4 linked regions of the Struthio camelus genome follow. The main gene of each other region encodes a partner of the protein of the gene in region 2 in a complex. Links are inferred from orthologs where the notes say so. Each region holds a gene or a part of one and is shown on either strand. Other genes may lie near its edges. The genes, in order: CRIPT, SNRPG, PRPF4 and PRPF8.

Region 1 (7,477 bases), on a different chromosome or scaffold from region 2:
CTTAAACTGAAAATAAAAAACTAGCATAACTGACTTGAGCGAGCACTCAACACATTTTTCCGTAAGCTGAAAACTGATATACTACCAAGGCCAACACATTAAGCTATTATAAAAAGACTATTTTTGGCCTTCTTTATACAAGTTGAAATCCGAAGTAACTCCTTAGGTCAGCAGGATTTTACAACTTTTTACTTTCATTGAGATTAGATTTCACTCTTGGGACACATTACAACGACACTAATACTAACATCATATTATTAGAACCTCAAGCAAACGCGGGGCTTTTTTTATGTTTCAGAGTCCCAGTGTTTCAACAGTCCTGTTATCTCTGCTGCCTTTTTTCACCCATTAGATAGAATACTTCTGAAAAATGCATTATCCTTGATATGTGCCTATATTATGGCTTTCACCAACTAAAAAAGGCTCATTTTACTTTAAACATACTCTTAAAAAAAAAAATGCTAGAAAATTGACACCGAAAACAGCTTTTTCAGAAATTTGAAAAAGAGTATGGATAAGGATTACATGCTTAAGACCGCAGAAAATTACATATTATTTTTACAATTATATTCAGGTTAAAGATAACACCAGAATAATGTTTGTTTTGTCTTGCTATTTCTACTTTAAAAGCTGCGCTTATGAGGATACTCTCAGATCATGTGCAGTCATGCTCCCTTCAGCGTTTACTCACAGATCTCTTCTGTATTTGACAGTTATCATACTAGCATGCACAACGGTTTGACAACAGTCAAATAGCGCATTTGAAGGTTTTTGTCTTTCAAATGCAAATAAAGAAAGATTTAAACTCTGGCCACCAGAAATAAAAAGCCAGTTTTTTAAATCAGTTACACCTTCAAAATAGATAATAGTTTTCTTTGCCAGAAAAACTTTCACAAGCCCTTAATTATGAAAGTGAAAATGACCCATAATTCAGGATGTTTTATTTGCTTTACAAGAAACTCCATGATATATTGTTTATGACAACTCTATTTCTATTATGGGAAAAAAATGGAGAAAATTTAAAGTAGAACTTACCCATTTTTACTAAATACCCGTATCCATGCTTGAATGTTTGGTCCCAGCACACACAAGCATTGTAAAGTAGTAAAAGTAGATAGCAGAACTGCAAACAAAAATGTCTCAGTCACTGACCTACAAAGAAGGAACACAATAAAATTAACTGAGGCACAATTGGTGATTTTCTAAGAGTTCCAAGAACTAGGAAAAAAACTCAAAATCATCTAGAAAGCATGCATTTTTCTTAAATTCATGTAAAGAAAAAAAAAGTTTTTCTTCTTACTCTGTAGAAGAGAAAAGAAAGATGGAAAGAATTCTAACATCCATTCGTTACCTCAACAAAATCTGAAATGTAGCAGCTTATTTTAAATGTCCGATACCTGTAACATTTTAACAAATACAGCGATATCTTACACAGAAGGTTACTACTTTCTAACTGAAGTACACTTGGATATTTACTTTATCATTCCATTTATCTTTCTAGTTTGACTTAGTGGAAGCAACCATGAAACCAAGCCACATGATGTCACCGCTATTCAGTAATTTAGCGCCTCTCAAAAATCAGTTAGGAGAGATGTGAGGCAGCCTTTTGGGTTTTTTTTTGTTTTTTTTTTTTTTTCCAAACCACCCTTAACAATTAAAATACTAATATGAAAAGGATGAAAGCTATAGGAGATGCACGTTTCAGAAACTTAATGGAAAAATGACTAAATGAAACATGGAAAATGTTTGCAACCATATATATGACATACAAGTATAAAATATGTCTATATTTGTACATCTCCAAATATATAGAAATTTTAAGGGCTAGCTTCTACGAAAAATAGCCACTCTTCGCCCAGCCAGGAGGTTATCCTTTAACTCCCAATGTACCAGGAAATACTCAAGTACTTATACCAATATCTGCAAGAAGAACTGCCACTTAAAGAGTTTAGAGGAAAAAAGGTTCTTCCGACTTACTCTATGAGAGGTGCTCCATAAAGAACAATAATCGCATGAAATAGTATGCAAGACATGAAAAAGTACATACAGCATTTTAGAAATCTGGATATCTAAAAAAGAGCAATAACATATCAGAATAATGTTTCAAAAGAAAAGAGAACAATGAGCAATGTATATAGTCAATATCTTATCAGTAGCATCTCACTGTACCCACTTCCTTAGATATTTAATTTCAACTATAGCACAGTATGATTATACGCTCCTGTATTTCCAGACCGCTTTCCCTATGTTTAATACTTCAAATCATTAATTAAAAAACATAACATGAACACACTCCAATCTAAAAATCTTTTCATATATCATACTATTATACAAACATACAAAAAATAACTGGAAATAACAAGATAAATGGAAAAAGTTCTAGGGCATGTTTTTATGTTTACGTGTTACATTTCAGCATTATACCCATTTGTTAAAAAGCATCTTTCGCAGAACGTGCAAAAATATTTAGGAAGATGCAATATACATACATGATATTCAGAATGAAATATAGTATTTAAAACTACATGACATAAAACGTATTGCATTTTGAAACTGCCATCTTAAAATCTAAATCCATTTGAGAAACATCCATGACCTTCTAAACCTACAAAACGCATATAGTTTTCTATGAATCAAAGCAACAGTTTCTGGGTACCCACTATTATATCAAAATAGAGCCACTTGATAAAGTGTCACAGTTTCACCTGAACACTTTTTTTTTTTTTTGGGGGGGGGGGGGAGGGAGGGAAGGGAGAGATATTCCTGTGCTAGTTGGGATGAAACCTCACCTAAAACTTGAAGCCTGCTTTGTTTTTTAAATTATATATGGTTAAAATGCTTGTTTTCCATGATTTAGTGGATTTCATGCCCTGCTCTGTCAGTAAAAGTAGATAGAAGTTTCATAGGAAAAGTTACTGCTTTCAAGGATGTTTAGCTTGCACAACTATTTAAGAACGACCGTTTAAGAGCATTAAATTTTGTCTGACTCAGCAAGTTGGGAGGACAAGACTATCCAGCTGACTTGTGAATGCCTTTCTATTCCACCACTCCCAGGGAAGTTGGGTGCCGCTCCAAATTTGCTCTGTTCAGAGGTATTTTCTTGGAATTCATATCTTTAATGCTTCTGTTACAAATGTTAACTATAAAAATTTATCACAGATTTAAATTCTTCTGTGTGCAGATGTATTCGTTCAAGGAAAGGTAGTCACTTCAGTGCTTTTCCACCTCATCTTCTAAAATCTACCAACTTAGTTTAAAATTTAATGAGCTCTTTGTTTTCTTTTTCATCAGTCAAAAGTTTAAGAAAAGTTTTTCTTCCTTTAGAATTATTAGTAACTTCTAACTACTCAGAAGAAAAGTGTCTTTTCATAACACTGGGATTCAGGCCCAGATTATGAAATGAGTTCTGTACCCATTCAGGGATTCGCCCTGATTTTTGCCAGCAGGTAAGCTCTTGGAGGATCAAGGACGCCACAGTATACAAGCCACAGTATACTGACACGAAAAGGCAAGGAATCACTCACCTGAACAGACTATTTACAGGTAGAGAAAATTTAACACTGTGAAAATATCAGAAAACTTACTTCTCAGCTCATTCATGGAAAACAAGATTTCACCACCTAAAATTGTAACTTGCTTTCTCTTTCACGCTTGACTATTTCAGTAAAAGAATTCAACCTCCCATCAGTACTGCCTGGTAGCAATTTAAGAATAAAAATCTTACCTTGTGAGCAAATGAACTTCTCTTAGGAGACAGATTTGGTTTAAGGATTAAATATAAGATTATATTAAGGGCACTAATGGAAACAGAACAAACGCACAGCCAGGTGAGGTGCGTTCCCAAAACCGAGAAGTTGTCCAGGAAGAAGGCTGGGACGGTTGTTGTTAGAATAACTGAAAAAACACAGAGCAGGTTGGCAGCTAGGAGCCTCTTTATTTCTGCTTCTTTCATTGTGTTCTCTGTTAACCAGTCACCTGCAAGAAAGCAAGCTGTGCTTAGTTACTGAAAGACAGCCAGAAGCACTAGCCAGCAGTATTTTTCCCTAGCTGAAACACACAAGGCAAAACTCTGAACTTAGTTTGGGGCCGAAGAGGATTACTTTGTGGCAGAAGTTTCATTCGTTCATTTAAAAAAAAAAAGGGGGGGGGGGAACACGCAGCAATGCTGTCCTTCAACAGGCTGCCCACATTCAAAAGCTGGGCGGGCTGCGGGCTCGCCCGCCCCGGGCACCCCTCCTGCGCGGCCCGAAGCGGCACGTCTCAGGCCACGGCTCCCGCAGCAGCAGCCGCCCCCAGCTCTCCCCCGCGGGCCGCCCCGCCGCCCCGCGCCGGACCGGGCCGGGCCTGGGCCGCCTCACCCCGCCGCGCTCGGCAGCCGCGAGCCCAACGGTCGGGGGGGGGGAGGGGAAGGAGAGAAGACATGGGAGCCCGTTGGGGCGGCCCTAGGGAGCCGAGGAGCGCGAGCCGCGCCCGCTCTTACCGGCGCGTCGCCCCGCCGCGGCGCAACGGAAGACCCGGCGGGCGCGTCACGTCCGGGGGGCGGGGCCGGAAGCGGCCGTTTGTTGTGGTCGGGGTCCGCCATGGTGTGCGAGAAGTGTGAGCGGGGCCGGGGCCGGGGCCGGGGCCGGGGCCGGGGCCGGGGCCGGGGCCGGGGGGGGTCACTCGGTCGGTCGGTGGGTCGCGGGGCGGTGGCTGGGCCGCCGGCAGGCGGGGCTGGTTGCCGGCGTTAACGCAAACCAACTTGAGCTTTTTCCCTCCGCGCGCGTGTTTCCTCACGTAGGCGAGAAAAAACTGGGCACGGTAATTACTCCTGATACGTGGAAGGATGGCGCAAGGAACACCACAGGTACTTCTGCTTTCCGGGGGGCTTTAACGCTTCTCGTTCAGATGTCTTAAAGCCCCTTGGGCACCTGTATCGTCGTTCAATTCTAAGGCTGAGGATTGTAATAGCTGTTCTGTTGGGTTTGTTTTTAACTGTTGTAGTTTCCTTAGCGTGCTAATTCCATCCTCTGGGCGTTTACTTGCCCTGAACTTTTCAGGGCTGGATCTGTCTGGGTTCTCCCCCGACCCATGTGGAGTGACGATACCCAAGCAGAAGATAATGTAAGGGGTTCTGTCGTCCTGTGCTTTAGTCCTGTGTTATACGCTGTGCTTTTCTTTCTGATTTCATTTACAGAAGTGTAAAACTTCTAAGCTAAGCTTTTTCCCAAACCTGATCGAAACTGGGAAATCTACCATCTTTATTTTTCTTTCTGTAGAAAGTGGGGGCCGAAAACTGAATGAAAACAAGGCTTTGACTTCAAAGAAGGCAAGGTTAGTATTTAATCCTGATTTTGATTGTCTAAAAAGGTCATTTTCCTGTAACCAGGACCTGTTTCCTGCACAACTGGGCAGCTTCTCAAACCATGTCCAAAATGGACTTTGTTTTTAAAATTCTTAATGGGGGTTGCGGCATGCTATTAGTTGGTAACAGTATGTTTGTACATATTTCATGGGTGCTTTCTGCTGAATCAAAAATATATTTCAGTGCTCACTAAAACTGAGTGTTAAGTTTGATATTCGTATTAGAAGAGAAGCTGGAAAGACGTACTCTCTTGCTAAGACCACCTGTACGGTCTCTTCAGCGTATTTAATATTTGCAGGCCCTTTTATTACCTTCTGCAAGGTTTATTTTATCCTCTGTAGAGAGGGCAAGCCATTGCTGGAAGACATTTAGTTCAAAATAGTCTAGCATCTTAATGAAAAGGCACGTTGTGTTTTCATAATGCAGGAAACCTCTCTTTGTAAGGTAGCGAGGGGTCTTTCTGTAGACTTTGAGTGCAACCTGTTTGAAACAATCTTTGTATGTCCCTTTTCTAAATCATAGTTTCTGTTTGTGGTCTCTGGCTTAGACTTTTTAGGATGAGGTAGCGGAACTACTTTACTTCGTGGTGTATAAATACAGTATATTTCCTTTCTCTCTTTCCTCAGGTTTGATCCTTATGGAAAGAACAAATTTGCAATATGTCGGATTTGTAAGAGTTCTGTCCATCAGCCAGGGTCTCACTACTGTCAAGGATGTGCCTATAAAAAAGGTGAGATTCACTGGATACTGAGTTAGCCCAGTTTGGTTTGAAAGTAGTGAGCAAACGCAACTCAGGGTTTGTTTGGCCTTACAATGAGAAGGCTAAGGGGAGATCTAATTGCTATCTCCAGCTACTAATGGGAGGGTGTAGAGAAGTTGAAGGTAGCTTTTCTCTGAGGTGCACAGTGATAGAATAAGAGACAGTGGACAGAAGTGAGAATGGAGGAGATTTAAATGAAACATAAGGAAAAAACTTTCACTGTGAGGGTGGTCAGATATTGCAACATGGACTCAGGTTGTTTTCTACAAAAGTAGAAAACCTGGGAAATAAAAGGCAAAGAGACAAACAGATGCTGTTGTAAAAAGAGCTAATAAAGTGCCTTTCAAGGCAAACGGGCTTCTTGCATTGTGAGAGAAGCTTGGCTTAAGTTGCAACTGAAAATCAAAAAGTAAGAATAAAACCTTTATGTTTAGAAAGCAAGATATTGCCCAGTGTAGTATATAACATACAAAATCTTTCTGTACTTCTAAATCATGTATGAACAGCTGCACTGAAATTCTGCTTCTGTCTTGAGGTTTTCAGTCTCCTGTATTCACAACAAGCCTTTAGGGTTGTTGAAAATTGTTTTTTGTTTTCTCAATGAACTGTTGAACAATTTCAAGCAACTGTGAGGTAAAAGTTGAGCCTTAAGGATATACAACTTTTACCAGTCTTGTGAATTTGAGTAGGTAAGCAAAATGGAGGCCTAAGCTTGTAATTGCCTGAGGAAAAAGCAGCAGCATATGAACTCAGTTATATTACTAATTTTGGAAAATCCACACAGCACAGACATGGGCTAAACCAATTGTTAGCTGTAGAGGCACATCTAGTCGGTATGAGTTTAAATGTTGTTTATGAAATGACATTAATTCTTTCACAACTGGGCGGCGCGTCAGTGGTTTAGCAGCCTGCCGTAGAGCTGCTATTTTTTCTGTTTTCTGGGTGCTCACCAGGTGGCTGCCAGAATCCCACATGAGGGAACCTTATGCTTTCTTAAATTTATAGTTGATTTGGGTGAGCTTGAGGACTTTTTTGTCTGCTCGTGTACCTTTCCAGGTAGAAATGGATTTCTTCATAAAAGACGGAGCTTCAGCTGCTTTAAGTTCTAGCTCTGACCATCAAAGAGAATGGATATGGCATGTTTCTTGAAACAGGTGTGGTCGTATGGATTAGTGCTTCAGTTGCTGCGCGTCTCTGAAAGCTAGAGACTATTCAATGTTCCAAAGTTAACTACGCCTCTACTTAGACCTGGGGTGAACAGCCTGTGGGATGGATTTTGCACTCTAGAGTAAATCATGTGGTATTTTCCCTGCTGTTGTCTGTCCTAATAGACTCTTAGATGAGTGTCCAGTATCATGATGTCAATATATGAA
Region 2 (7,016 bases):
CAGTGTGGGCATTGCATTGCAGCACGGGCATTGCATTGTGTCACAGGCACCACGTCGTGGGCACTGCATCGTGGCACGGGCATTGCATTGCAGCACGGGCGCTGCAGCACGGGCGCTGCATTGTGGCGTGGGCATTGCATTGCATCACGGGCACTGCATCACGGGCGCTGCAGCGTGCCATGGGCATTGCATCACTGCACAAGGAGCACAGCGCAGCGTGGGCGTTGCGTCACAGTGTGGGCGTTGCGTGGCAGTGCAAGCGTCGCATCGCTGCACGGGCACTGCCTGGCAGCGTGGGCATTGCAGCGAGGCATGGGCACGGCATCACAGCCTGGGCACCCTGTGGCAAGCGTTGCATCTTGGTGCGGGCAGCATACTGTGGCACGGGCATTGCATTGCAGTGCGGGCAGCGCAGCGCGGCCGTGCCCGGGCTGCCCTGCAAAGCACGGCGGTGCAAGCACGGCCCAGGCCCACAGTTCCCCCCCGCTGGCGCTGGTGAAGCACCCGGGGCCCCGGGAGCAAGGGGCAGCGCTGGGGCTGGCGCGTCCCCAGGAGGAGCCACCGGTGCTGGCTCATCCCCCAGCCGCGCTTCCCCTCGGCACCTCCCAGACCCGACACCCGTGGCCCCCTGCCAGCCCAGCCGTATTTTTAAACGAAAGCAATAAAAATAAGCGGGCGGGCGCGCCACGATCCCGCACGTCGGCCAGCGGGGAGCGACCGCGGCGGCGCCGGCGCGAAGCCCCCGCGCCCCGGCATGCCGGCGGTCCCGGCCGCCCGCGGTGCTATTTGCAGGTGTTTGGGGTTGGGTTTTTTTTGGAGTCCGGCGGGAGGGGCGGCCAGGCCGCAGGAGCCACGGGGCGGCCGGCACGTGCCGCCACGCAGCCCCGCTCGCCGGGGCACTCGGGGTGCTGGGCCCCGGCACCGGGTGCTGAGGCCGAGCCGGCCCCGCACGTGGCCTCTGTCTGGGACCAGGCAGGTAAATCCAGGCTGGAAGCTGCAGCAACCGGAGGGGCAGCGGGTGCCCCCCATGCCGGGGCCTGCAAAGGGGCAGCAGGGGCAGGTGCCGGGGCACGAGAGCTGCCACGGGGTGCGACGCAAGGTGCTGGCGCATCTGGGATATCTGGGATGCAACATCCTGGCCAAACCGGGGTGCAAGAGCCCGGCAGATCCGGGATGCAACATCCTGGCCAAACCGGGGTGCGAGAGCCCAGGAGATCCGGGATGCAACATCCCGGCCAAACCAGGGTGCAAGATCCCGGCCAAACCGGGGTGCAAGAGCCCGGCAGATCTGGGATGCAACATCCTGGCCAAATCGGGGTGCAAGATCCCGGCCAAACCGGGGTGCAAGAGCCCGGCAGATCCGGGATGCAACATCCTGGCCAAACCAGGGTGCAAGAGCCCGGCGGATCCGGGATGCAACATCCTGGCCAAACCGGGGTGCAAGAGCCCGGCAGATCCGGGATGCAACATCCCGGCCAAACCGGGGTGCAAGAGCCCGGCGGATCCGGGATGCAACATCCCGGCCAAACCAGGGTGCAAGAGGCCGGCTGGGGCGGTGCCGGCGGTGCTCGGCGCTGCACGGCCGGCGGGTGGCGACGGCGCTGGGCGCTGCGCGGGGGGGCCCGGGCCGGGGGCGGTGCTGACCCGGGAAGCGGATGGGCCGGGCCGGGCATGGCGGAGGCGGCGCAGGGCCGGGTGCAGGCGGCGGTGGAGAGCATGGTGCAGGGGCTGGAGCGGGACAGCATCCGCGGCCTGCAGGTACCGGCGGCGCCCGCGGCGGCAGCTCTGCGCGGCCCCGGCCCGCGCCCCCTGCGCCCCCCCCACCCCCGCCAGCGCGGCCCTGGGCACCCCCGGGCGAGCACACCCCGGGCACACTCCGTGCAGCCTCTGTGCAAGCACCGTGCACGCTCCACGTGTGCCTGTGCACACCCCGTGCACACCCTGGGCAAGCACCGTGTGTGCCTGTGCACACCCTGGGCAGCCCCCGTGCATGCTCCATGTGTGCCTGTGCACACCCTGGGCAGCCCCTGTGCATGCTCCATGTGTGCCTGTGCACATCCTATGCACAGACAGCCTGTGCAGCGCCTGTGCACGCTCCATGCGTGCCTGTGCACACCCTGTGCACGCACACCCTGTGCAGCGCCTGTGCACGCTCCATGCGTGCCTGTGCACACCCTGTGCACGCACACCCTGTGCAGCGCCTGTGCACGCTCCATGCGTGCCTGTGCACACCCTGTGCACGCACACCCTGTGCAGCGCCTGTGCACGCTCCATGCGTGCCTGTGCACACCCTGTGCACGCACACCCTGTGCAGCCCCTGTGCACGCTCCATGCATTCCTGTGCACACACAACCTGTGCAGCGCCTGTGCACGCTCCATGCGTGCCTGTGCACACCCTGTGCACGCACCCCCTGTGCAGCCCCTGTGCACGCTCCATGCATTCCTGTGCACACACAGCCTGTGCAGCGCCTGTGCACGCTCCATGCGTGCCTGTGCACCCCCTGTGCAGCCCCTGTGCACGCTCCATGCATTCCTGTGCACACCCTGTGCACACACCCCCTGTGCAAGCTGCACACGCCTCCCTGCACACCCGGTGCAGCCCTGCGGCAGCAGGAGGGCAGCAGCTTGCAGAGGCCGGCTGGCCCTGCCGGCTCGCTGCGCGCTCATGGCAGGGGCGGCGCAGGGCACTCGCGCAGGGCACTGACGGCCCCGGCTCCGCAGGGCGCCATGTTCCGGTGCAGCGCGCGGTGCTGCGAGAGCAGCGCGGCCTCCATGCAGCAGGTGCAGCAGTGCATCGAGCGGTGCCACGCGCCCCTGGCGCAGGCGCAGGCCATCGTCACCGGCGAGCTGGAGCGCTTCCAGGTGAGGGTGGCGGCGGGGGCGGCGCGGCGGCAGGCGGCACGGCGCGGCGCTCACAGCCCTGTCCCCGCGCAGGACCGCCTGGGCCGCTGCACGCTGCACTGCAACGACAAGGCGCGGGACGCGCTGGAGGCAGGTGGCCCCGAGGCGCGGGCGCGCGCCCAGCTCGACGCCTGCGTGGCCGCCTGCGGGGACGAGCACCTGCGCCTCCTGCCCGCCATGGCCCGCAGGATGAAGGAGAGCCTGGCCGCCCTCGAGCAGTAGCGGGGGGCCGGGCCGCGGCCCCGCGTTTATTAAAGGCGAGGTGCAGAGCTGGGCCCCAGCGGCGCCGTGGTGGCGGGGGGGGCCGCAGCGGGTGGCGCTCTGGGTGCTGGCAGCAGGGAGCCCCTGGTGCCCGTGCCGAACGGCCGGCGGTCGCTGGCTCGGCATGCCCGGGGCAACCGCTGCCCGTGCGCAGGGCGCGGGGTGACACCGGCGTGAGTGCGTGTGCAGTGCAGGGTGATCCCTGGGGGCGTGCAAGGTGCAAGGTTATCCCTGGGAGTGTGCAGGGTGCAAGGTGATCCCTGGGGGCGTGCAAGGTGCAGGGTGATCCCTGGGAGTGTGCAGGGTGCAAGGTGATCCCTGGGGGCGTGCAAGGTGCAAGGTTATCCCTGGGGGTGTGCAGGGTGCAAGGTTATCCCTGGGCGGGTGCAGGGTGCGGGGTGATCCCTGGGGGTGTGCAGGGTGCAAGGCGATCCCTGGGCAGGTGCACGGTGCGGGGTGATCCCTGGGCAGGTGCAGGGTGCGGGGTGATCCCTGGGGGTGTGCAGGGTGTGGGATGATCCCTGGGGGCGTGCAGGGTGCAGGCTGATCCCTGGGGGTGTGCAAGGCATGGGGTGACCCAGGCACATGTGCAGGGTGCGGGCTGATCCCCGGGGGTGTGCAGGGTGCAGGCTGATCCCCGGGGGTGTGCACGGTGCAGGATGATCCCCGGGGGTGTGCAGGGTGCAGGCTGATCCCCGGGGGTGTGCAAGGCATGGGGTGACCCAGGCACATGTGCAGGGTGCGGGGTGATCCCCGGGGGTGTGCAGGGTGCGGGCTGATCCCCGGGGGTGTGCACGGTGCGGGGTGATCCCCGGGGGTGTGCAGGGTGCAGGCTGATCCCCGGGGGTGTGCAAGGCATGGGGTGACCCAGGCACATGTGCACGGTGCGGGCTGATCCCGGGGGGTGTGCAGGGTGCGGGCTGATCCCCAGGGGTGTGCACGGTGCGGGCTGATCCCCGGGGGTGCGCAGGGTGCAGGCTGATCCCCGGGAGTGTGCAGGGTGCAGGCTGATCCCCGGGGGTGTGCAAGGCATGGGGTGACCCAGGCACATGTGCACGGTGCGGGCTGATCCCCGGGGGTGTGCAAGGCATGGGGTGACCCAGGCACATGTGCACGGTGCGGGCTGATCCCCGGGGGTGTGCAAGGCATGGGGTGACCCAGGCACATGTGCACGGTGCGGGCTGATCCCGGGGGGTGTGCAGGGTGCGGGCTGATCCCCGGGGGTGTGCAAGGCATGGGGTGACCCAGGCACATGTGCACGGTGCGGGCTGATCCCCGGGGGTGTGCAGGGTGCGGGCTGATCCCCGGGAGTGTGCAGGGTGCGGGCTGATCCCCGGGGGTGTGCAAGGCATGGGGTGACCCAGGCACATGTGCACGGTGCGGGCTGATCCCCGGGGGTGTGCACGGTGCGGGCTGATCCCGGCGGCGTGCACGGTGCCCCCCGTACGTGTGCCCGGCGGGCGGCGCTGCTGGTGCCGCTGCACGGAGCGGCGCGCGCGGCCGCGTGGGGAGCCCAGCGGCGCCGGGAGCACGTGGCGCCCTCTCTAGCCGTATTGACCCGCGTATCCGCGCATCCTCCCCCGGTTCCCCAAGCCGGTGCCGCCGTCGCCTCCGGGGACGGCCGGCCGCAGGAGCCCTCCGGTGTCCTGCTACTTCTGCCCCTCCGCCAGCGTGTCCCCGCCGGGCCTCCTGCGGCGCTTGGTGCCGCAGCTGCTGCGCCTCTGCTCGGGGGAATGCGGTAACCGCTCGGCAACGGGGGAAGGAGGGGAGTGTCGCCTTCCGGGGAGGCGCGAGGGGCGGCGGGGCGGGGAGAAGGGGGAGGCGCGGCCGCTATTGGCTGGCGAGCGGGTCACGCGGGGCGGGTGGAGGGGGCGGCGCGGTGACGTCAGGCGGCGCGCGCCGAGCGGCAGAGCGGACGGTGGCCCCGGCGCTGAGGAGACGCCATGAGCAAAGCGCACCCGCCCGAGCTGAAGAAGTAGGTACCGGCCCCGGGCGGGGGGGGGGCGCGGGAAGGCGGAGGGGGAGGGAGGTGGAACTGTGAGTGGGGGACGGGGGGGGGGGGTGATGTGGGGGGGCGGCGGCGGTTACCTGCCCGAGCGACCGTTATTCTCCAACCGCCGCTCTCCCGGCATGCATTGCGCGGGGTGGGGGTGGGGGGCGTCATGGCGGCGGGCCGCCCGCGCCGCGCTGACCGGCGCCCGCCGTGTCGTTGCAGGTTCATGGACAAGAAGCTGTCACGTGAGTCCCGGGCTCCGGGGGGCGGCGGGGCGGGGGGGGCAGGTTAACGGCAGCGGGCGTCCTCGATCTCTTTTATGCCCCCAAATCGGTGTGTGTGTGTGTATATATATATATATATATATATATATATATATATAATATATATTTAAGATTGCTACCTTGCATTATCTCTCACCCTCTCGCTTCTTACGCTCCCTTTCTTACACTGGCAGCGTTAAGTGAGGGTGCGATGCTCTTCGTGCTTGTGATTGAACCCCCCCCCCAACTCTTATTATGACAGCACGCTCTTTCTGAGCTACTGTCCTGAGCAAAACCACCTCAGATGCCGCAGTTCGGTGGTCCCGTCCTTCACGCTTACTGGATTTCTTTCAGTGAAGTTAAACGGTGGCCGACACGTCCAGGGGATATTGCGAGGGTTTGATCCCTTCATGAATCTAGTCATAGATGAGTGTGTGGAGATGGCACCAGGAGGACAGCAGAACAACATAGGGATGGTGGTAAGTACTAGTTTGGATTGTCAGGGCTGAAACAAGTAACAGGTACCTGGTCTGTCACCGCCCTGCAAAGACAGCTAATATATGTATTTAAAGGAGCTGAGTTCTAAGAAGTTGATGTACTTGCTGTAAGGAAAATGTAATGTAAACTGCCTGTGAAGTGATGTATTTGCACACAACAATCCATTGTGTTTTAGAGTTAAAATTAGTTGTAGTTTTCCTTTGTAGGGAAATGCATTTTAATTTCAACTTTGGAGCAGCATCTACTGTGCAGTCTTCTAGGAGGACAAATTTGGATGGGGCAGGGGGGAATCTGCAGTGTTACAGAGCTGTGTTTACCGATGGGCTTCATCTCACTGGCTGCTGTGAACTTTTCTTTTTAGGTAATACGAGGAAACAGCATCATTATGTTAGAAGCCTTGGAACGAGTATAGAACCAGTGAAACCCGCTTAGTGACAGTGTGTGCAACATGTGGGATGACCCCTGTGTGTGTGCAGCATGTTGGGCTGTGATGGGACCTAACTCTACTATTTTGTGTACTCAGTTAAATCCTCTACAAACCATACATCACTTGTGTAAACTTATTTTTTGTTAAATAAATTTTGTAATGGTTGAAGTAACTTGAGTGAGTTGTACCTGTTGTTATGCTGCTAGCGCAACAGATTTATTATTATTTGATAGCCTTAAAACTCTGAAAAACTTCCGGGGGCTTGCTTTCTTCAAGCGGGTGGAAAATAGGCTTGTCCTTGCAGCAGGTGACACGCACAGTTTCACAATATTGGCATTAATTTTGGTCCTGTATTCCTCTGCCCTCTTGTGGCAAGCAGGCTATTAGGCTTCTTTTACACTATCAGTGTAGTGGCAAGGGCTGGAGCATTTGTCTTATTAAAATATTTGTGACAGCAACTTGACTACGATCTGCAACCCCGATGTGAGGTATTGCTATTTTGGGTTATTTCAGTTGCCCCGTGCAGTGCAAGGGGTAGAGTAGACTGAGCAAAGCATGGGGCTCTGTAGTACTGGTACACTTGTAGAAGGTTTAAAGCATTCAAACAAGACTAGAGCTTATGGCGAGTCTAGTAATAGCGCCACACATAATTTAGACATTAAGTGCTGCAAAA
Region 3 (7,945 bases), on a different chromosome or scaffold from region 2:
AAACTCTAACCTCACTGGGTTTGTCTACCAGCAGGGGTTCCCTGTTCTCTTGATCTCAAGTTTCTGGCATTACCCATAGTGGGATTAATGGTTAGATTTGACAGAAGCCTGCATCTCTCTCTTTTTCATGTATTTTGTTTTTCCTTACCTGGGGAGCGAGTAGTTAGCAAGCCACAGCCTAGCTGTCTTCAGACTGCGTGGTCCTTCGTGGTACCAGGTTTGCTGATACTTAGAGAAAAAGAACAAAACTAAAGAAAAAGCTAATGTGATAAGAGTTCTTCCATTCAGTCATCTTAGATAACTCCTCTTCGTACATAACTGCCACCGCAGCACCTTCTCTTAAAGCTTGCTGTCTTAAGGCCTTTGTCTTAAGGGGCTGAATGGGGTATTCTGCATAAATATAAGTCCTCAAAAAAGAGATTTAACACAGACAAGTCAAGTTCTCTGTCCTACAAATGAGATCCTGGTGTACTGCCATGCCCCACAGGTGTATTCTGCTTGAACACAATCTTATATTTCACTTGACCATTTACTGCTGATGATTTTACTGGATATGTGGAAAAGGGAGGAATAAAAAGAAAGCCTGGAGCTGCAGAAATTGTACTTACTCCTTATAGCAACCCTCCAAAATCATAAGGAAAAAACCAGACTCAGAAAAGAGAGGCAGAAAGAAAGAAGAATCAAAGACAGAACTAGATGTAGTGGCAGGAACATAGTTTTTTTCCTCCTGAGTAAGATGATGATCAGCAATAAAGGATTTACTAAGTAACAGTTCCAATGCTCAGTCTCCTGGTTTATACGCCATATGCAACATGTAATTTGGTCTGAAGTACAACCTGGACTTAATTCTCTTGATTTAAATACATTGCAACCCTCACTGTCAGTCTGACTGAAACCAAAAGCACTGGATCTATTGTAGACCGTCTAAATAAGGTATCTAAAAACTTTTTATACATATTCCCCGCCACATTAAGAGCTAGCAGCAACCCCTCCAAAATAAATAAATAAATAAATAAGGAGAGAGAAAAAGAGAGAATATTACCTCTTCTTTGGATTTTTTAGACTTGTCATCATCTTTCCTACTCTTTTTCAAGGCATCTGTGCCAACCACTGAAAGGATATTTCGTAATCTGAAAAGAAACACATTAAATCACATTCACTCAGTGAGCTGTCAGATAGTCTGACCATTGTCTTCTGTTCTCCCCCTCACCCCCATTATTCTTGCTACATCATAAAGAAGCATCACTGACTAGCAGCGTTCATTACACCCAAACTACAAGAAATATTTCAGGAATTTGACAAATGGGGTAGAGCTGAGTGTTAACAGTTAGCAACACGCAAGACTGGGCACAGCACCTCTCTCTCCTTTCTGCAGGACCTTCTCCAAAGAGCGTGATGGGCTCCCCAAGGGCTCGTAAGCAGGCTTTCACTTCAGAGTCGTCAGTGGAAACGTTGATTTGCCGGGCTCTCTTCCTGCGCTCAAACTCGGCTAAGACTTCGGCCTGACGCTCGCTCATATGGTCTTCGAGATCAAAGACCTCACCTAAACCAAAAGTGAAGCCGTTAAATTGAAAACGGCAGCTGGACAAAGGTGTCTCGTTCTTGATTTTAAATTATGCTCAAGCCCAAACAGAGAGACTTATGAATATGTCAAAATCAAGAGCGAGAATCAAAAGGTGACAGGGTTAAACATTCTCACCACTGCTTATGTTAATGTTGCCAGCCTCAATTGCAGCCTTCACGCCCTCTTTTCCCAGCAGGCCTGACTCTCCTTTTGCAAGACGCTCTCTTTCCTTCTCTTCCAAACTGCCATAAAAGATGTGGGCTCTTTTGGGTGGAGGAGCATCGCTCTCCTCTGAGGCCTTGCTCTTTGCGACCTAGAAAATAGAGGCAGAACATTAAGACTTCTTCAGTGTGTTTTAGCTGAATAGAAGACATTCGGTGAATGGCTTGGCTGTGCGAGAAAGCACTGCTCTGCCAGAGAAAGCTAGTAAGGACATCATGAAAAGACCCTGAAGCTGTGCACGAGATGCTAATTTAGAACAGTAAGGCTATGCCCCTCAAGTGCAAAAAATCAAAAGTTAAACGACATGTTCAATAGACTTGCTTAAATTAGATTTGCATCTTTTTCTATTTTTTTAGTGTCTGCTTGGGCATAGTTTTTAAGTCTCTCTCTCTCTCTCTCCTATTTTTTTTTTTTTAAAAACATGAAGCTCTTCCCAATCTTGCTGAAGAACTTCTAGAAGAGGCATGAGATGTTGAATGCCACCTCTCAATGCCCCCGCTGAAAAGCGGGAGATGTAACATTACCAAAAAAAACCCTCCTTTACTCGCAGGACAGAAGCCTGAAAGCACTTTTCAAGAAAATTACAGGATTCTTCAAAAATCTGCGAAAAAACATCAACAGTCTGGTCACGACCCCTTTCGAGGGCTCAGGTGTCGCTGACGGCACTCGAGTCTCCGCCGCGCCGCCGCTCGCTGCGTCCCCGACACCGGGGCCTCCCCCGCCACGCAAACCGCCCCGCTGCCCCCCGCTCCCCCTTTCGGGTCTCCGGCGCGCAGGCGGGCGGAAGGCGGCGGGCCAGGCCCGCTCCTCCGCTCGGCCCCGGCCCCGGCCCCGGCCCGGCTGGACACGCACCTCGGGGGGAGCGGGAGCCCGCGCGGGGGGCCGCGCGCCGCCGCGCGCCACCGGAGCCCGCGAAGAAGCCATAGCGGCCGGCACCGGGACACCCGCCGCTCCGCGCCCTGCCGCCCCGGCACCCCACAGTCACTTCCGGGGCGCCGCGCGGCGCGTGTCGGGAGGTGGGAGCCTGAGTACGCGGCGGAGTGAACGGCGAGCGCGATGCATGCCGGGAGGTACGCCCCACTCCCAGCTGGCGGGGAGCGCGGGGCGTGCCGGGAGGTATGACCACCAGTGGGCGAGGAGCGCAAGGCATGCCGGGAGATGTGGCCTCCAGTGGGCGAGGAGCGCAAGGCACGCCGGGAGGTGTGGCCCCCGACGGGCGGGGAGCGCGGGGCATGCCGGGAGGTGTGGCCCCCGACGGGCGGGGAGCGCGGGGCAGGTCGGGAGGTGTGGCAAACGGCGCGGCGGGGTGCGTTCTCGCTCCTTGCCGGTGGCGGCGGCTGAAGCCGGGCGGCGGCGGCTGAGGCGGCGCTGGCGGCGGCGGCGGCGGCGAGCGATGCTGCGGCGGAAGCCGACGCGGCTGGAGCTGAAGCTGGACGATATCGAGGAGTTCGAGAGCATCCGGAAGGACCTGGAGGTGCGAGCGGGGCCGGGCGCGGCGGCGGGCGGGGGGGCGCGGCCTGAGGCGGGCCCGGGGCCGCCCCGCAGCGCGCGGCGCCGGTACCGGGGCCCGGCGCGTCCCCCGCCGCCTGCCGGGAGCGGCCGGGCTCTGAGGCGGCGCCGTTTGCCCTGCAGAGCCGCAAGAAGCAGCGGGAGGAGGCGGAGGTGGCGGCGGCCGGCGAGGAGGCCGCCCTGGCGCTGGGCGCCGAGCACAAGAGCCGGGAGCAGATCATCGGCGAGCGCATCGGCTACAAGCCGCAGCCCAAGGCCGGCGGCCGCGCCGCCCACTTCGGCACCTTCGAGTTCTAGGGCCGGCGGAGCCCTGGACCGGTTTTTCTTGTTATTTTGGGGATTTTCTTGATTTTTTTTTTTTAATTTTCCTCCTTAACCAGCCTGTGAATGGCCCCTGGCTAACTATTTTGTTTTAAATAAATATGTTTTTTTTTTTTTTTAAGCGTGCGAGCTGCTTTCGCTGGCGGTGGAGAGCGGGGGTTGGAGGCGCCGAGACCAACGTTTGCTTCGCGTGTGCGAGAACCGGGGACTGAGCAGGTGCCCTGTTACGCTGAGGGGGTAAAACGCTGCCTCTGCGGAAAGAGGTTTTGGGGATCTTTTGATTTAGTTATCTTAAAAACTGAGCCAGCGGGATGTATTCATTGAAACCGTCAGCTCTACAAGACTGTGACCTCCCTGCCATGAGGAAGGGTGCTGCAGAGTATCTAATTAGTGTTTTACAGCTCTGGGTGAATAAAGATACTGGGTGTCATGGATCGGGGTCCAACTGGCAAAACTTCTCACAGACACCGCTCTATCTTCTTCTGAGAAGGCCAGGAAGGAAGCCCGCCATGGCTGTTAAAATGGACTAGTCCCGAACATGTTTCACAGATGGCTGTAGAGCTGCTTTACAGCCAGTGGCACAGCCAGGGTGTGGATTTTTTCCTTTGAATGAAACGCAGCAGAACACGCTAGGCACGTGGAAATTGAACAGTATTCCATAGTTTCTGATTAAGCATTTTTTTTCCTTTAAATTTATTTCCTTCCCCTCCATTCAGACCTGGCGAGTGGGTCGTGCTAGCTGCATCGCTATGTAGCGAGAGGTGTTTGTTGCTTGGATCAAAGGTTACCACACATCCCCTTATAGACAGTGTCACATGCAAACATGGATTCATTTCTGATAGTGACAGACTAGCAAGTACCTTAATTTATAGCTGTGACTGGTACCCCTGTCAGTTAGATGGGTACAAAATTAAAAAGTAAGATAATGTAGTGCCCTGAGGAGGAGTCTAGCGTGTAGCCAGCCAACCTAAAGGAAGCAAAATAAAAAACTGAAGGAGTCAATGCTGTCAGTGTTTAAAAGATTCTCTGTTCCCTCCAGCCTGGGGAAGGAGGCAGAGCAGGCTGCCAAGCCGCAGTGCCTGTATCAAAACATCCACATGGGACTTAAAGATGGAATGGGAAGTTTTCCCTACTCCTGTAGGGGATTGTTTTTTTACCATCTTCTAGTGCAGTAACCAGTTATATTTCCAATGTCTCAAGTGACAAAGTTCCAGGCATCTCCCTTGAGAGGATATTCCACAACCTACTACCACTCAGTCCCTGCTGTTTTTCTCCCTGCTGTTTATTCTCCAGTCCAGCCTTGCTGTTTACCTACTTCAGACAGTCTTGAGTTGATATCCCAGGTTGACAAACTGTATGCAAATTCCTTGACAATCTTTTTAATACAGTGCTAAAGATTGAACTGTGGAGCCCTTGGCCCTGTGAATTTGGCAACGCTCCCATCTTCTGTAACCGAGCCTAATGAATTCAAGTACACACAGTGCAACTTTGACTCTATGGTATTTATTGAGAGTTACTCGCATGCATGGCAGCTGTTTTATTTGTGCATGTATTGACTTCGGAGTATTGGCTGGAGAAACCTGGCAGAAGCATGAATGTGATAGAACTGAGCAGTACCAGAGCTGTAATCAAAACCTGGACGGGTTCAGGACGATCCACTTCAGTGATAGCGTTGGCCATGTTAAAAAAAGAGACATGGGGACTGTAAGCACTGGTAAGGGAGAAGCGGACTGGAAGGTTGTGCAGAGATGCTGGCACATTCCCCTCAGACTCTCTTTTTATGCAACTGTAGGACTTGCATAATAGTAGGGCTAGGGGAAAGTTTTTATTGTGCTTAAAAGTTTGCTCACGAGCAAAGATTGGGCAGTGACAGTTATTCCTACACAGGGATAAGGAAAGGGGCAAAGAATGCTCTTTATTGGTATTGATATTTTTCAGTATCTATTTGCCTCCCTAATTGCTTCTGCCATCCACTGTACAACCTTTCCCTGTGGAAAGAAGGGAGTGTTGTCATGTTTGGAAATGGAGGAGCACCCTCTCTCCATGCCGTCCAGGGAGGTCACATGCTGTAATTTCTGAGGTTTTAGTTTTGACGTTTTATTTGCATCACGCTTTCGGCCCTTCTAGCTGCTTCTGTTCCTCCTCCAGGGAAATGCTCACCTTGTAGTTCAACACGCGCACCTTTCACCCTTTTCAGTGATCATCTCACTGCAGTCTCCCAATCCTGTCTCGAAACTCCAGTTCCTCAAAACCCATTCCTCTCTGTTGCAGTGCCAAATTTTCCCTTATTTTCTCCTCCCAGTGGTGTCTAATTGAATTTTTCATAAAAAAAGAAAAGCCCGTTCTGACATGTTATGCTCAGTTTAGTCTCCTGCTTTCCAGCACAAAAGAAGACTGAATCTCTTTAGAAGCTAATTTCAGTGAAACAACTCCAATTCCTTCTCTGACTTCAGCCCACAGTCCAAACTCACGTTGCCTGAGTTCACAGGGCATGCCTTCCTTTCCAGGGCATGTGAAACCTCGGCTACTGTTTTTGCTCATGCTGCTCTTTATAATCCACCTGACACGTGTTCCTAAAATCAAACATTCAGTATAGCTTCCTTGAAGGGGCTGTACCTACCTAGCAGTTACTGATCACAGCCCTGGGCATATGCAAAAAAGTGATGGTTGATTTCTAAATGTAAGAAATATTTTTGCCTCCGAGTTATGTTTTAGGACTCCTGTGCTCTAAACTTGACTTGCTGACTTCATGCTATAGCCTTGTATGAGGCATCAAATTTCAGGTCAGGCTGGAGAAATGTACAAAACTTAAACCTCTTCAAACCATTCTTCAGATTGGAAGAAGTGACAATGTTGACTAGAACAGAGCTGGTTTTCCCGTCTCACACCATGTGAAATTATGAGGGACTGCCCTGCTATGCAGGCATCCCCAGCATGGCCTAAATCCGACAGGGAAACATTTTAGGAGCAACAGCAGGAAGTTCCAGACACCCTTTGGTTGTTTATGGAAACAAAAAACAACCCAAACCCCTGTTTCTCCTGTGTGGATGACTGCAACCTGGAATAAAACTCTGGGGCGGGGTGAGGGGAGCTTCAGTATTCCTTGCTGTATATAGACATCTCCCACGACCAAGTGGGTTTATTATCACATCTGCCCCAAATTTTGTCTTTTGACCTCTCCCTCTGTACTGGAAAGCAGATCAGGCAGGCACTAGTTCCTTTTTCCATCTCAGCCTTGGCCACACTCAGCAAAATTTAAATAAACAGAAACAAACAGCTACTTACGCATTACTAATTTCCAGCACTCCCATTCTAGCAGTTTCAGGAGTTATTGCTCAGGGCCAGCCATGGGCTCAGAAGATGCTGCTCCTTATTCTAATCCCCAACCACAGGAAGGTGGACACTTAGCCCCTGCTGCACACTCGCTTTGTCACAACAGGCACAGGAGAGTAGTGCAAGGGAAAAGGGGCTGGAGAAAGCCAGACCGGAGCTGCCTGGCTACTGGTCGTTAGTTCATAAAACCAGGCACTTACTCTTGGAGTCACTTGCTGAATGTTTCAGTAGAAGCTGCTGGCCTCCACTTTAGCTGCAGTCTCTGCTTTGAGGGTTATTTCCAAAACACACATACACCATGGTAAAATGCAATCTATTTTATTGGCTAATTATTTACAAGGGATTCTTGATATTCACAGTAACATTAGACAAGTTACTTCCACAAAGAGCAAGAGTAAAAACAAAAGTGACGGTCCACTGTAAACAAAACTATGTATCCTGCTGGATCTGTTGGGACTGGCTTCAGATCAACTGAAAAGGCACTCAGGGAAAAACAATAAAAGCCAGCTGATGAACACAGCCTGGGTATTTTGTGCACTTCTTCCAAGGTGATAGGCTGGAGGCACAGATCGTATGGAGACTGATCGTCAGGGCACAGTCAGAGAAGACAGACATAGGACATCACACTCCAAGCTTGCTACATAGGTGTCAACGCATGAATTAATTTACTCAAGTTCTAGTAATCATTAGAGTCCTCACCTCCCTCCAAGCACTACTTAATGCAAGCCTAGTGTTAACATCAGGACAACCTCAAATACAGCCAGCAGAAAGGCTGGGACTGCAGCAAAAGCAGTCAGTAGAAGTCATCATTAGGGAGGCCAAGTTTTGTTCAGAGCCTGGCAAAGTGGGCCAAGAACACAGCAGCCTGTAGCATTAGGGAGGCTGCGACAGGGGAGGTAGATGGCTTCTCTGGATTGACAACATTTAACCAAAAAAAGCATGGCCAAAGCTCATAGGGAGACAGGGACTAGAGACATCCCTTTTTCCGCTGTACCT
Region 4 (6,846 bases), on a different chromosome or scaffold from region 2:
AGACAAAAAGAAGTTGTCATACAAGCATTCAAGTAGGACAGAAAGGCAAATATCGTTGACCAAAGGTGTTATGCCAGCCCTTTTCCCTGAGCCTCCTCTTGACCTTAACAACCATTCAGTCTTTTAAGCAGCAAGCACATCACAAACTTTATGCTATGCAGAGAGAGAACACCCAGGTATAGCTCACCCAGGGCAAGCCACGTGGTAACACACAAACCTTCCCAGCCCTTACCCAGATAACCCCTTATCTTTCCTCCTAAACTCAGCACTTACTGAAGATTGATGTCTCTAACAAGAGGCTCGAACTTGGGACCTCCAGGAATAGCCATGTTCAGTGCCTTGGAGGTGAAGAATGCCTTCAGGTCAAACAAATAGAAATAGTTATCATCCACAAGGTCAGTGAGCAGCTGATTGGCCAGCCGGTACAACGTGGACATCATAGGGAGCGTAAACTGCCAACGCTGGTATGTAGAACCATTTACGTACCTGTGAAGGAACAAAGCACGAGACACTCACTACACAGCCAGAGAACACTGGGCCTTTACCAAAGAGCCAAGACCATCCAAACACCTTTCACTGCCTGTCATTTACAGAAAACAGTTAAAGACAGCTAACTCATGGGTCCCTCCAGACAGAAGAGAAGGTGGAAGGATTGCTTAAGACCACTGTGCACCACAACCACCTAGCAGTTACTGACCGGACCAATTCCCCTCCTCCATATCCAGACTGACACACCAACACCTGAAGTCATATTCAACAGCCTTTGAGGCGTAAGTGCACTCCTAACAAATATCAATTTAAATTCCAATCTGACAATTCAGGTTTTCAAATTTATGGCATGAAAGGAAAAACTCCAGTTTTAGCCAGTTAACTGGGCAGCAGCCTTCCTGAACAGAGACACTTTGCTTGTTCTCCATGGACGCTGAAGATAGAGGACTAGTTTCAAAGCAGTCAGATTCCTCCTTGCATCCTTGAGCGAAGGCTTCCTCTCCCCACTAACATCATACATAGCCCAGTACAATAAGACCAAAGGGTCTATAAAGTCTGCATATAGCAGTAGGCCTATTTAGTTTGTAATGTTTTGGGGTTTTTTGGTTTTTTTAGGTTTTCTTTTTCATTTGTTTTTTGCAGTGAACTGTTTCATCAGAAAGAGGTACATACTTCCTGTTGTCCTTCAGTGGCTGGTGGTCATAGAACCAGTCTAGCACAGGAGCATCTTCCTCCGGATCCAGCTCAAGCTGGATTGCTTCCAGGGGCTCTACATCCAGGATGTTATCAGCATAATCCAGAGGGGGTTCTTCATCATCAAACGGAGGGAATCTCATCCTCTTGAAATGACGCCTATCCCTCTTCTCTCGCCTCATCATAATCCACATTGACCTGGCAGAAACCGAGACCATTACGTACAGCACTACGTTAGCGTAGTTGCACGAGCGTTTATCTGCAAGTTTCCCATGAGGGTTAAGGAAGAAGGTGCTTACCCCCACTGTGCAATGTACACTGGCTCTATGACCCAAGGAATCTCATTCACAAAAGAGATGGCGCCTGTAATATGGTACAAGACTGGAACATCTCTGATTTGTTCCCAAGGCATGGGCATGTTCTCCAAGAGCTTTAGAACTGCATGAGGCATGTACTTCAGAGCACTACAAACAGAAATCAAAGAAAAACAGAGTTGGAAGGGATCTCAAGAAGTTAGCCATCCATCTGCTGAAAGCCTAACTAACTATATATATTTCACTCCCGAAAACTGTTCATCTGATCCGTTCATAAAGGTCTCCAGTGACAAATCCAACTTCCTACCCAGTCTATCCTTGTGCTTCACAGATCTTGCCACCAAAAAGTTTTCTGCTGATTTAGCTTCAGAGAGGATGTTACATGCTAAGAACAGTACCATCCCAAAAAATCAATTTCAAATGAGTTTCTACAGGTAACTGAAAGTTAGTGCAAAGGATCCCAATTTGCATGAGATGCTTCTCTGAGCCCAAATAGCAAAGAAGCACAGGTGCATATTAGATGTCCAAAGAACGTGCACTGGCCACCTTACACATTTCCTCAAGCTCCTGTTAAGACCTGTCTGTTATTCAGGGTAATGTTTTTCTCAAAAATTCAAAGCAACCGCTTCCTTTGCTTATACTCTTCTGTGTTGCTATCCCAGTGCAACTGGTTATCATGTCTTCCTCAGGTTACTACGCTGTTTTCTATACACAATTGACACGGAAAGCCCTTCGGAGCTCTGACAAGGCAGCAGAGGAGGACCGGGCGCAGCTCCCCTGTGCCACCCAGGCCCACCGTGACCAAGCAGGGGGCTGCGTTACCCCAGGTAGACGCGCTTGTCGTGGCGGAACTTCCTGTTGGTCATGTCACCGTGGTCGCGGATGATCTTGCGGACATGCTCGGGGGGCATGTCCTCCTTCTGCGCGTCCACGAAGCCGAACTTCCTCTTCTCCGCATAGCGCTTGGCCTGCAGCTGCTGCCACTTGCGGGCTGCGGGGACAGAGGCACAGCGGGGTCAGGCCCGGCCTGCGGGGCCGGCCCAGGCGGGACACAGAGGGCCCGGGGCTGGCCGAGGCCGGCGAGACCGGTCCTACCCACCTTTCTCCTGCAGCTTCTCCTCAGACATGTAGTCGGGCAGCGGAGCCAGCGGGCTGGGCACCGGGGCGCAGCCGCCGCGGTACGGGAACACGGCGGCCATGGCGACGCACCTGCGGGCACGGAGCCGGGCTCAGGGCGGGGAGGCGGCTGCCGTTAACCTCCCCCCCCGCCGCCACGACCCCTTCCCCACACCCGCCCCGGACCCCCCGACCCCCGCCCGCGCTCACCGGCTCCCGCGACACCCCCCGACTCCCCACCACAATGGCGGCCCAGGCCCGTCGCCACCGCGCCTCGGAGCCCCGGATGTGGGCGGGGCGCGCTCAGGAGGAGCTTCCAATCAGCTTCCGAGCCGCCTCACGGGCAGCTGCCGCAGCCCGTCAGAACGCGGAGGCGGGGTGCGGGGCGGGACAGGAGGCAGAAGAGGAAAGGAAGCCGTGCCTGGAGTACACTTCCGATAGGCAGCCCTTCCCTCTCCGGTCCCGCCCTCCCGCCGTTTCGATTGGTGGAGGGGGGACGGCGGCGACAGCACGGCGGCGGCGCTGATTGGACAACGCCTGGCCTATTTCACCTACGCCACCGGCCTTGCGGGGGCCCCTGGGGGGGGAGCAAGGGGGACCCCCATGGGGTGCTTTAGGGGCGAGGGGCCCCATGGGACCCCGTGGGGCGAAGGGGACCCTCCCTGGGGTGCTGCGGGGTGAGGCCCCCCCATGGGGCCTTGGGGGGATGGAGAGGAACCCCCCCCCATGGGGGGCTGGTGGATGCTGGGGGGCGAGGGAGCCCCCTATGGGGCCTCGTAGGGTGATGGGGGCCCCCTGTGGGAGCTTTGGGGGGGCGAGGGGTCCCCCATGGGATCTCGGGCACTCTCCGTGGGGTGCTGTGGGGTGAGCCCCCCCATTGGGCTTTGTGGGGATTGAGGCGGACACCCCCATGGGGTGCTGTGGGGCAGGGGGGACCCTCTATGGGGTGCTGAGGAGCAAGGCCCCCCCATAGGGCCTTGTAGGGTGAGGAGGACCTGGGGACCTTCCATAGAGTGCTCTGGGGTGAGCCTCCCATAGGGCCTTATGGGCATTGAGGGGGACCCTCTGTGGGGTGCTGCTGCCACCCATGGGGCCTTGTGGGCCAAGGGGGGACTTCCATAGGGTGCTGTGGGGTGGGGGCCCCCCACAAGGGCAATGGCAATGGCAGTGCATGCTGGCCAGCCCACGTGGCCCCATGGTGCTCACATCTCCCCTCCTCGGGTCCAGGGCCACTCCACCCCACAGCGCCGCACAGGGCCGGAGCATGGGGTGCCCCAGAGCCCCCCCCCCAGGGAGGGACACCTCCTCCCACCCAGCCCAGACCCCACGGCTGGAGCGCAGGACCTCCTTCCCGCCAGCACCTGACGCCGGGGCCGTCAGTGCGTCGGCAATTAGCCACCGTCCTCGGGGCCCCCTTCCTTGGCCCCCCGGGAACGGCGTGCCGTCACACAGCCCTCCGAGCTGGTTCAGTGTACTGTGAAAGCGCGAGGTACAACGCGCTGCAAAGACAAGCGGGCTTAATGCACCGCAGCCACCCAACAGGCGGTCACTGGCGTCAGGGCTTGGGCATGGCAGGGGTGCTGGAAAGGGGAGAGGTTGTCCGTGCCCCGTTAACCCAGCCCTGGAGGGGTGGGGGTTGGGCTCCCTTCCCAAAATCAAGGCCACAGCATTTTTCCTCTGGACAGGTAAGCATCAGGTACCCAAGCGCTTGGCTGCAGTGAGCTGCAAAGCCACCATGAGCACTGCAGGAAAATCCCATCTGCTAAGAGAGTCCCCCAAAACAGGGCTTCCCTGGCCTCAACCTCCTGCTGCGATATCCTCCGTACGCACCTGCTCGGTAGGTGATGTATCTAGAAAAGCAGCATGTGCCAGTCCGGGGTGGGGGGGGGTGCCTTTTATAACATAACCCGGGCTGTCCTCGCGTGCCTGGGGTACACGATATCCATGTGACGGCAGGAATGCGACAACACAATTGAGGCCTTGAGAAACGTGCCCGGCGTGGGCAGAAGCAGGAGGACAGAGCAAGCCTTGCTGGACGGGTGCAGAGGCCGAGCAGCTGCGCTGCGAAAAGGGCAGCTCCTGAAAAACTGCGCAGAAATGGGCCAAATCCAAAAGAGAGCGCTGGCTGCCTGCTCAGCCCTGCCTGGGAGGTACGTGAGGCACACGGGCACTTGATAACCGCCGTGGGCCCCGAGGTGACAAACCCAAACCCTGCACCTGCAAGCTTCCTTGCACTGTCCACAAATAGAAACATAAGCAGCTTTGGCCACGAGTCGTTTCCAGCATCCCACTACCCACACGTGTCGCTTGTCTTTCTCCTTCTGGACAGAAATGTGTCTGAGCCCTTATTTTCCTCCTCGAGGCAGAAGCCACCCACCCCCAGCAGTGCATTGCCAGTAGCTGCAGACTGTCTCCCTGCTGTTTCAAACCAATGGAGAAATCGCACATTCAGGGTGATCTGCCCCAAAGAGAGTGTGACAGACAGACCCAGCGGATTTCTCCAAATGGGCACACGTAACTCTGAGTGGGATGACTTTGCTTTTCTGCAAGGTGTTGGGCCACTGCAAACAGCGCAGCGCAGGGGAAGCAGGAGGAAAAAGGCAACGTGAGGACCTGCCCAGCTCTGAGCCCCTTCCCCTCAAGCTATTTCATTTGCAACTGTTTATTAAAAGCTTGTGTTAGTATGAGCGCTTGCTGCCGCACAAGAGTGTTACGGAGGCTCTGCAGCAGGACTCTTCATTCCTAAAAGATGCCCAAATCTGGCCCATCTGACGACCCCTCCTCCGTGGGAAGTGATCACCACGTAGCCCCATCCTGGCCAGCAGTTTGCTCCTTCCCATGCTTGTGCAGGGGGACTTGTTGCACCTGGGAATGAAGCAACACTGAAAATATGTCCAGGTGCCAAGAGGAGTCAGCAGCCCATCCCCGAGCGCATGGACACAGCACCCACTGCCCAGGGCTCTGGTGCCCAGGCTGCACCTGCTGCAGGCTGGCCTCAGCCTCTCCCTCCATCACCCACCTGGGACTATCTCCTCAGGGAGGACTCGCGTGCAGGATTTGGCTTTTGCTGGACTTGGCCTCGAGGGTGAAGCTTTGGCGCCTCTCCTGCCTGGTGGGATGTGCCATGGAGAGCACAGGGCTGGCAGCAAGGTCCCTGTGATGCTGGGCTGGCCCTTGGGCAGTGCTGGTGCCCAGCCTGTGGGATGCTGCAGGGTGTAGCACCGAAGGGGTCAGAGACACACAGCAGCTTTCGGCTGTCTGGAAGAGCAGCAGGGAGACAATGGTCTTCTCCTCGCTCCCTTTTCATCTCAGCAGTGGCCTTACGGAGCTGCGAGACCTGTCGAGGCTTCTTTGAGCAGCTCCCAGGCATCCAACCACGTCATCAAAGGTGCAGGGGAAGCAGGGCCCCAAGCGCCTGGTCTGGAAGTGCCTTTTCCACAGCGCGGGGCCTGGGATCTGCAGCCACTGGAGCAGCCCAGGTGCTCTGGTTAGTGTGGATCCTCCAAGCAAGATACTGAAATATCCGTGCTCATTCTCCACTGCTCTTCTTCCTCGCTGTCCTCTTCCATAGGCCTCAGGGCTGCTCATCCCCTGGACCCTGCAGAGAAAGGGGCTATTTCTCCTTGTCCTGCTGCACCTCCTTGCTGGACTTGAAGAAGTCACTACGCAGCAGGCGGTAGAAGAGGATGATGTTCATGGGCGTCATGATTGCCATGCCCACCGTGCCCACAGTGTACGTTGCCAGGGGCACGTTCTCCCGGTTGAGAAAGAGCCACCGTGTCATCCAGGCCAGCGTGGCAATGCGAAACACCACATAGGTGCCCAGGTTGACGATGCTGTTGAGGCGGTAGCAGGTGGTGTGCACCAGGTTGGCCATGAGCAGAATCTGCCGCAGGTGGAGGAAGATGGAGTTAATCTCCACCAGCAAGGCAATGAGGGCAAACCCAACGTACTGATGGAGTACCACTGCAATACCAAAGCAGACGATCACCTGAGAAAGACAAAAGAAGGGAGGCTGAGCCGGGGAGCTGCTGTCTCCTCAGGAGGGTGTAGATGGTTGCAGGAACAGCAGCTCTTAGTCACTGCCAGCGACTTTCGTGTTTGGGTGCAACATGGAGCAGAGGTGCAAACCATTGTCATGCCAGTGCCCAACTACTGGTCATCCCCCCACTTACATCTCTGCAGCATCTCAGCCGCCAGCTGGTCCTGCCACCTCCAGCATGAGATCAAGTCT

What was found.
Region 1: SNRPG (region 2) and CRIPT share a complex: the UniProt entries of both Homo sapiens proteins name them as parts of the minor spliceosome. The link is inferred for Struthio camelus from reciprocal best matches to the Homo sapiens genes SNRPG and CRIPT.
Region 3: SNRPG (region 2) and PRPF4 share a complex: the UniProt entries of both Homo sapiens proteins name them as parts of the U4/U6-U5 tri-snRNP complex. The link is inferred for Struthio camelus from reciprocal best matches to the Homo sapiens genes SNRPG and PRPF4.
Region 4: SNRPG (region 2) and PRPF8 share a complex: the UniProt entries of both Homo sapiens proteins name them as parts of the U4/U6-U5 tri-snRNP complex. The link is inferred for Struthio camelus from reciprocal best matches to the Homo sapiens genes SNRPG and PRPF8.

Annotation. Positions count from the first base shown.
Region 1 is NC_090944.1:108,650,841-108,658,317, reverse strand, and holds the start of CRIPT (cysteine-rich PDZ-binding protein), read left to right. Parts: upstream 1-4,465; 5' UTR 4,466-4,580; coding exon 4,581-4,596; intron 4,597-4,780; coding exon 4,781-4,846; intron 4,847-5,258; coding exon 5,259-5,313; intron 5,314-5,970; coding exon 5,971-6,074; intron 6,075-7,477. Other genes in the region: PIGF (phosphatidylinositol-glycan biosynthesis class F protein), read right to left, coding at 1,036-1,152, 1,978-2,069, 3,725-3,975, 4,359-4,422. UniProt on the Homo sapiens protein: As a component of the minor spliceosome, involved in the splicing of U12-type introns in pre-mRNAs. Involved in the cytoskeletal anchoring of DLG4 in excitatory synapses.
Region 2 is NC_090968.1:3,162,690-3,169,705, reverse strand, and holds SNRPG (small nuclear ribonucleoprotein G), read left to right. Parts: upstream 1-4,985; 5' UTR 4,986-5,105; coding exon 5,106-5,137; intron 5,138-5,377; coding exon 5,378-5,400; intron 5,401-5,772; coding exon 5,773-5,897; intron 5,898-6,277; coding exon 6,278-6,328; 3' UTR 6,329-6,515; downstream 6,516-7,016. Other genes in the region: protein FAM136A, read left to right, coding at 1,672-1,758, 2,722-2,862, 2,935-3,123. UniProt on the Homo sapiens protein: Plays a role in pre-mRNA splicing as a core component of the spliceosomal U1, U2, U4 and U5 small nuclear ribonucleoproteins (snRNPs), the building blocks of the spliceosome.
Region 3 is NC_090961.1:12,158,468-12,166,412, reverse strand, and holds the start of PRPF4 (U4/U6 small nuclear ribonucleoprotein Prp4), read right to left. Parts: upstream 3,005-7,945; 5' UTR 2,711-3,004; coding exon 2,639-2,710; intron 1,878-2,638; coding exon 1,700-1,877; intron 1,544-1,699; coding exon 1,357-1,543; intron 1,131-1,356; coding exon 1,043-1,130; intron 229-1,042; coding exon 149-228; intron 1-148. Other genes in the region: anaphase-promoting complex subunit CDC26, read left to right, coding at 3,180-3,260, 3,419-3,592. UniProt on the Homo sapiens protein: Plays a role in pre-mRNA splicing as component of the U4/U6-U5 tri-snRNP complex that is involved in spliceosome assembly, and as component of the precatalytic spliceosome (spliceosome B complex).
Region 4 is NC_090957.1:16,069,852-16,076,697, forward strand, and holds the start of PRPF8 (pre-mRNA-processing-splicing factor 8), read right to left. Parts: upstream 3,005-6,846; 5' UTR 2,823-3,004; intron 2,706-2,822; 5' UTR 2,696-2,705; coding exon 2,596-2,695; intron 2,488-2,595; coding exon 2,319-2,487; intron 1,647-2,318; coding exon 1,482-1,646; intron 1,381-1,481; coding exon 1,162-1,380; intron 487-1,161; coding exon 274-486; intron 1-273. Other genes in the region: TLCD2 (TLC domain-containing protein 2), read right to left, coding at 6,226-6,603. UniProt on the Homo sapiens protein: Plays a role in pre-mRNA splicing as core component of precatalytic, catalytic and postcatalytic spliceosomal complexes, both of the predominant U2-type spliceosome and the minor U12-type spliceosome.